Linked DNA regions of Caenorhabditis elegans. The protein of the gene in region 1 interacts with the protein of each later gene in a pairwise test. Each region holds a gene or a part of one and is shown on either strand. Other genes may lie near its edges.

The links.
Region 2: the proteins of wbp-11 (region 1) and hsp-17 interact in a two-hybrid assay, tested with the Caenorhabditis elegans proteins (one large-scale study listed by BioGRID).

Annotation. Positions count from the first base shown.
Region 1 is NC_003280.10:10,171,276-10,175,108, reverse strand, and holds wbp-11 (WW domain-binding protein wbp-11), read right to left. Parts: upstream 2,187-3,833; 5' UTR 2,185-2,186; coding exon 1,812-2,184; intron 1,764-1,811; coding exon 1,649-1,763; intron 1,602-1,648; coding exon 1,438-1,601; intron 1,392-1,437; coding exon 1,350-1,391; intron 1,215-1,349; coding exon 829-1,214; 3' UTR 763-828; downstream 1-762. Other genes in the region: gsox-1 (C2H2-type domain-containing protein), read right to left, coding at 1-179, 408-435; gpd-4 (Glyceraldehyde-3-phosphate dehydrogenase 4), read right to left, coding at 2,704-2,773, 2,822-3,254, 3,307-3,829.
Region 2 is NC_003283.11:8,384,103-8,388,058, reverse strand, and holds hsp-17 (SHSP domain-containing protein), read left to right. Parts: upstream 1-2,131; 5' UTR 2,132-2,144; coding exon 2,145-2,191; intron 2,192-2,501; coding exon 2,502-2,739; intron 2,740-3,000; coding exon 3,001-3,165; 3' UTR 3,166-3,251; downstream 3,252-3,956. Other genes in the region: gcy-7 (Guanylate cyclase), read right to left, coding at 1-121, 197-306, 417-607, 656-703; F52E1.14 (ZP domain-containing protein), read right to left, coding at 3,252-3,446, 3,493-3,632, 3,791-3,890, 3,939-3,956.

The DNA.
Region 1 (3,833 bases):
AACCAAAGTATCATCTTCGTGATCTTCATTCAAAAATTCTGGATCCTCGTCTTCTCTGAATTCGTGCTCTTCGGATTGCTCATCGGCATGGCTTGTCGTCGGAAGTTGCGATCTACGGGTACCTCGCCCTCTGCCCCGTCGACTGTCGGAAGAACTATCGGGATTTGAATGTGCTACACCTGTAGAGTTGGCTTTTTTTAATTTTGGAAGAACAAATAAAGTTGCCATGCTTTTTCCAAATAATTAAATTTACAGTTTTTCTGCTATTGTTCAAAAATCACTGTAAATCTTCCGTTTTTAAAGAAAATGTTTTGAAAATCTTCAATTCAAAGTTATTCTGATTTCGCAATACCTTTTCTGCGAGAAATTGTATTTCTGTGATACTTTTCTGTTATTTGCTTACTAACCTTTCAAGGAATGGCCTCTGCCTGTCATTATTAGTTAGGAGATTCAGGCGAAACCTGGAAGAAACAGTTTTAAAAGGAAAAGCTGAATGGAAACTGTAAAGTGAAGAGCGTTGCGAGACCGCGATCGATCGTGGTGAGACCGGCAGAGAAAGTGGGAGACTCGGATGCCTCTCTCGTTTCTCTCATGGCCGACGCACACTCTCGCACTGTTTGCATTTCTGCGTCTCTGACTTTCTCTGCGAACATTGCGAACGTATTTGCGGGGATACCCGTTTTTTATTAGAAATAATATCAAAGCGATTTGATGTTTAAACAACAAGCAATTGAAAAGTTAATCTGAAAATAATATCGTGGAACTAGAAATAATTTTTTATTTTAAACGCCAATAATTAAAAAAGAAAACTCGTAACAGTATCCAAATTCAAATGAGACCATCCAATTCTTTCATAAAATCATTATAAGCTTCATCGGTATTTTTTGCTTGCTTCTGAACCTCCGGTCGCCTTTGTACTGGAGCCGCTTGTCGTGGGACGATAGTCTTGTTGTCTCCTGGACGACGGAGCAATTGTGCCGGCACTAATTTGACAGTTTCTCGTCGTAAGTTTCGTAGTTCAGGAGCAGCAGAAAGTGTTGCTGGAGCAGCAGGTTCATTACTGCGATTAATTTGTGGAGCCGACGAAATAACAGCTTCTTCGTGATGGTTTTGGAAACCCATTGGATTGTAATGAGAACTCGCATGTGGGTGATGGTGGTGATGATGGTGCGGCATTCTGGTTGGCATTGAGTTATATGAGGATGGAGGTCCGTCTGGAAATCAAAACATAATTTTATTTGCAAAACATAATTTTTATTACATTTTTTTTAATGTGGGAATTTCTTGAAAATTTCCAGACAAAAGGGAGTAAGAATTTTAAATGTTGGAATTGGCCTATAAAAACTTACAATTTCTATGAATTGGCTGGTACGGGTTGTCGAATTCGGGAACTGAAATTTTTCAAAAATTACTTTCGTTAAGAAATTAACTCCTTACTAGGTACGGGCGCAAGATCGATGTCGTCATAGTGATCATCGTGCACTTCCTCTTCTTCTTCTTCGCTGTCACTGAAATTTGGAGCCAATCCACAAGGCGGCCCAGGAGGCTTTTGTCCAGCTACACGAACAGGTCTAGGAGGAAGTTGAAATTCCACTTTACGTCTAAAAAATAATTAAAAATTTAAATTCTCAAAACTTATTTAACATACTTTATCATAGCAGGAGCAAGTAGTTGATTATTTCTTTCAGGTCCGGCAGTAGAAACATCTCCCATTGGTAAGGGGATCATGTCCGGGTCAGCTTCGCGGGCAAGACGAGCTTGTTCTAAAATGAACGTTGTGATTTATAAAAAAAAAGAAAAATGATACTTACGAGCAAGAACAGCTAGTTTTTGACAATCTGACTGATATGCATTGATTTTGTCATTAAACTTCTTTAATTCAGCGTCTTCTTTTCCCTGTTGCAATGTCATCCGTCTTTTATTAATCGAATCTGTCAGCACTTTCTGCTTCTTTCTGAGAACATCGATATGGAACGGTTGAGGATCTAATCCAAGGATCTGCCGTTCTAATGCCAAAAGTTTGCTCGTTGTCTCATCCAGATTACAGTATTTCGCCATAGCTTGTCTTATTTGCTGCCTGTCTTTTTTGTTTCTCTTGTTTTCCTTTTTTCGATCCATTTTACGAGCTTGATCGGTAGGCGCTCGATAGCGCTCCCCGCTTTTCGTTTTACTGATGGACGGCATTTCTGAAAAAAAAACATGATTTAGGACAGCTGTTCTGGAAATAAAAAACGAATTAAATACAGATATTCGAAAAATGAGGAGCTTTAGGAAAAACATCTAGAATAAAATTTGTATCAGATAATGGATGTGAAATGGATTCATTAAAAAAAAGAAAGATGCTATTATTTTCAAATGAGTGCAAAATTAGCTTTTCTAGACGAAATGTTAATTTTAATCAGAAAAATACGTTTAATTTATTTGGGTGCAAGATCGTCAGAGGCGTCGCGGTTTAGCCCGCAACGCACCACAAAACACTATCAATAGTCCACGTTCGCACCATCAAAATGCGAAGCAACTTTAAATTTAAAGGTTAGGTCTCGAATTCCAATAGACATTCACTTTAGAAGTCATTTCAATCTTTTTCTAAAATCACGACAAAAGTACTAGATTTCACCAGAAAAATAGGTTTATTCAATGATGACTGTAATAAAAAAAATAGCTATGAAATACATGGATTATACATAAAAGATCCTGATAGAATTATCCACGGGTGGCGATGTATCCGATGAGGTCGACAACACGGTTCGAGTATCCATATTCATTGTCGTACCTGTAAAAAATAAATTTAAAATACATTTTTTAAAAATTCAGTGGTTACCAAGAGACGAGCTTGACGAAGTTCGGGTTGAGCGAAATGCATGCTCCAGTATCGAAAATGGACGAGTGAGGGTCGGACACGAAGTCAGTCGACACAACTTGATCTTCGGTGTAGGCGAGGATTCCCTTCATTGGTCCATCGGCAGCGGCCTTGACTACCTTCTTGATGTCATCCATCGAAGCTGGTTTCTCGAGGCGAACGGTCAGATCAACGACGGAAACATCTGGTGTAGGGACACGGAAAGCCATTCCAGTGAGCTTTCCGTTCAGCTCCGGAATGACTTTTCCCACAGCCTTGGCGGCTCCAGTGGAAGCTGGAATGATGTTTTGTCCAGCACCGCGTCCATCTCTCCACAGCTTTCCGGATGGTCCATCGACTGTCTTCTGGGTTGCGGTTACAGCGTGCACTGTCGTCATGAGTCCTTCGATGATACCTGAAAATAAAATAAATTAGAAAAAAACAAATTGATTTGATGATGATCATACCGAAGTTATCATTGATAACCTTCGCCAGTGGTGCCAGACAGTTGGTGGTGCACGATGCGTTAGAAATAACGTGATCATTCGAAGCGTCGTACTTCTCATGGTTTACTCCAACCACGTACATTGGAGCATCAGCAGATGGAGCAGAGATGATGACCTTCTTGGCTCCTCCTTGAAGATGGGCAGAGGCCTTTTCCTTTGTCGTGAAAACTCCAGTAGACTCGACAACGAAATCGGCTTTGACTGATCCCCATGCGATGGCAGCTGGATCCTTGCTGTTGAAGACCTTGATCTTGTGCGATGATTTGCCATCTTTCTGGACAATCAGAAAGTCTCCATCGTAGGTAACAGTTCCTTTGAATTGACCGTGGGTCGAGTCATACTTGAAAAGGTAGACCATGTAGTCGATTGTGATAAACGGATCGTTGACGGCGACCACTTGAACCGTGTCCTTTTCGACAGCCGCGCGGAGCACGAGACGTCCGATTCTTCCGAAACCGTTGATTCCGACGTTGGCTTTCGACATTTTT
Region 2 (3,956 bases), on another chromosome or scaffold:
GCCGACAGAATTCCGGCATTTGGAAATCTTTCGAAATCATCTAACTGAGCAGCGTTTACAAGACCCCACGCAATAATTGGTCGATTGAAGTAGTTAGATACAATAAAAGCAGCTAGCGTAGCTGAAAACATAACTGGTTTTTAAAGATTGGATCCAAAAATTAACTGTTACCAAAACATTTGAAAAATTTACTTACGCTGGTTCATAGTGGGCCCAATGATGACGTCCACGTTGTGCTTCTCTATAAGATCAACAGTCATTCCAGCGGCTTCAGATTCTACGCAATCGTCAAATTCAATAGTAAAACTGAAATTATTTTCAAAATTTACAAGATGATATGAACTATTAAAACTCTTCAATCCGGCCTGTCTATTTTTTTTTACAAAACAGTATGGCATTAGAAATAATCTACTTACTTGAATTCCCAACCACTCATTAGATTCTCCCTTTTCAATCTATCAACTGCAATTGAAGCTGCTGCTGCAGATGTACGATATCCAACAGTGATAGGTGCACTTTGAAAGTCTCTACAGTGAATAAATCCCACTCGAATCACATTTCCAGTGGTACCTGTTGCAACTTGGGGAAACATAGGTTTAGGTAACAACTGAAAAAAAATCATTTTTATTTTGTGGAATTCGCTTTCAAAACCTACCGTAATCACTAAAAACAAAACTAGAGACATTGAATAGAAGGGCTTCATGATTATTTTCTTATGCTAAACTGGCAGACAGCAGATCTTTTTATATCTGCACAAGGGGCGGTGGGATTTATAGAAACTTAAGTTTACTACGCCTGCCGCCTAATCCGTGAAACCTTATTTTTATATTTTTCCGCCTCCCGAAACAGTTGATACGTGAAAAAGCACGGAAGAGAAAAAAGCTTCTTTTGGACTTGATTAATCTGTTGGTCATGAGAAAGCGTGACACAAGGTAGGTTACGGTAGCAATTGCGTAATTAATCGGATCAGTCTATGCGCATTTCTGAAACATTGGGGATTTCAAATCTAGTTTATCAAACAGATACAAATCACATTGACATCTCGTGGAAACAGTCTGTAAAGTACCGCAAATTTTACAATTTTTGATATTATTGTCGTTAAACAAGTTCCATTTCAAATTTTTTATTGAATACGGTAAAAAAACAAGAGAGGCAGCTGGTTGAAGTGAGTCACTCTTGTTGAGTTTTCGTTACTGGAAACCTGAATGAAGATAGTTTTTAACTTTAGCATTACGCCTCATTATTTTCCTATTTCCTTTTTACTATTTTACTTGTATTTTTAAACTTTGTTTAGCACATTGAGCACATAAAACCAAATGTTATAAATATCCTTATCATCAACCCATCGGTTTCTTTTTAACTTTTTTCTTTCTCGAATTTCAATGACCCGGAAAACCACCACATCATATGAAAATCGAATCTAAAAATTTGCAGATACGCATCTGTCCTGCTGCGCTCTTTTTTTATTTTTGAATGTTTTTTTTTCTGCAAACGTTGGGAACAGTCATCCAATCCTTCAACCGTTCGTCTCGTTTTGAATGACAAACGTTCTCTTTCCGTCCTCTGTTTGAGTATATTTACATTGCTAATTCAAAAAAAAATAGTATAGAATATAATGATACTTAGAGATAGTTCTGGCATAAAGTTTAAACTTGAATGAAATCATCAATGCCATTAATAACTGTGTCACTGCATTAGTTTATCAGCAAGTGTGCCAGCAAAAAAAACGTTTCGAGACGATTCGATACATTCCTGAAAAACTTCGATAAAAGGGAAGTATCCAAACAACCACACCCAACTTTCATCATTGACTCGCTGTTTTGCTTTTTATTTTTGTTAATCTTCCTTACAATTAGTTTTAAAGTTTAAAACAAATATTACATGTTAGAAAGAACTGTATTTTGGTCAGTTTGTTCGAATAATTTCGAAATCTAAAACCTTTTCTTTTTGATGATTCGTCGGAGTAGATGTTTCTCGAAGGAGGTAAAAAAAACCGTGGGCGATTCTTGTTTGCATTGAGGATAATAGAGCAGTAGTAGAAAAGCAGGGAGTGTCAACTCAGTTTTGTCTTCTTCTTCCCCTATTTCTGTCTTACTTTCGTTTTGTTTCTTTGAAATAATTAGATTTTCAGAAACTATTATAAAATGGATCGTCGTTTTCCACCATTCTCCCCATTCTTTAACCATGGCCGGTAAGTTTCTAAATTCTCGTGTTTTCGGAAACTTCTATAGTTGAAGTAACATAACTTTCTGTAAATTTTCTTCTTTAATAAGTGACGTCACTCAAATTGTACTCTGCGCCGCTAGTTCTTAAAATACACAAGAATTTAATTTGGCGCGATTTCTAAAAATAAGCTAGCGAGAGGACTTTGTACTCCAGTTTAGCAAATAATGCTCTGAAAAATCATAAAGACTGGAGATTTTGACATATTTTTCTGCAATTAGAAAATTAGAAAATTAACTTTAAAAATTTTACAAAACTCCTACAAACAAGTTTTCTAGCAGATTCTTCGATGACGTCGACTTTGATCGCCACATGATCCGACCATACTGGGCCGATCAAACAATGCTCACTGGACACCGAGTAGGAGATGCTATTGATGTTGTGAACAACGATCAAGAATACAATGTATCTGTAGATGTTTCACAGTTTGAACCAGAAGAGTTGAAAGTGAACATTGTTGATAATCAGCTAATCATCGAAGGAAAGCATAACGAGAAGACTGATAAATATGGACAGGTGAGGGTTTCCCTCCTTCTTGAAAAACTCAAGTTTTGTATGAAGCTAGTGCAACTTGAAAATGTTTTCATGCATCCTTAGATTAGCTCTCAAGATCCTGAAACCTTACTCGGAAAAGGGCAAAAAGTTATCCAAAATAAAGGCCAAGAGTTCTAGATTATCCTTCCGCCTGTTACGCAATACAAGGAAGCCAAGCAACTCATTTCCGAGCTTATAACGAAGTTGTACTAAAGTCTAAAACCTCGTTGTGCATACTTTCAGGTAGAGCGTCACTTTGTCCGGAAGTATAACCTTCCAACAGGGGTCCGTCCAGAACAAATCAAGTCCGAATTGAGCAACAATGGAGTGCTCACTGTCAAATATGAGAAGAATCAGGAACAGCAGCCAAAATCCATTCCAATCACAATTGTGCCAAAGAGAAACTGATTTCAGTTACCTAAGTGTCTGTATTTTAACTATTTCAAAAATATTTATTCAATTCCATTATTGAAGTGACAATATAAACATTTTGTTTAGACTCCAACAATCTTTTGAACCGTAATGAATAGAGCATATGGGAACATGGATGGCCTCTTCACTTTCACATAAACTGAGCAGAAGTTGAAATCATCATAATAATCATAATCGATTCGAACTCCTTGTGAGTTTAAATCAACTTGCATTGAAGCGATTGAAGTATCGTTTGGTGATCCAATCGTTGAGAAAACCTTGAATTTAATCATGAAATCTTTTCAAATAGTGACGAAATTATACCTGTTGTGCTAGAGCAAGTGGAAGACTTCCATTGATAACTGCAGATGATACAATGACGTTTTCGAGTGTTTTATCTTGACAATGAGATTGACACCATTGAACTTGGGATACATCTTTTCCGCAATTGGAAAGTGAAGCGTCTGGAAATTTCTTAAAATCGATAGGAAATCTTTTAAAATTAGTTTAGAATACTGATGCAACACATTAAACATGATAAGATTCATTCTTTCCTGTTAGCAGATTAATTTATAATTGATGAGCTTTCTCTATCAATGACGTTTTTTTTTAGATAACTCACCAAAGTTGGTATTAAGTGCAACGTCGGTCTTGACTTTTACAGAAGAATCAGCAAGCTTCACATGGGAAGAATAAGTGAGAGTATGTGACATAAAGTCGTTCTATAACAATTTATATCAAACACTAGTGTTTTCTAATTTTGAACCCACATTGACACAGAATCCATT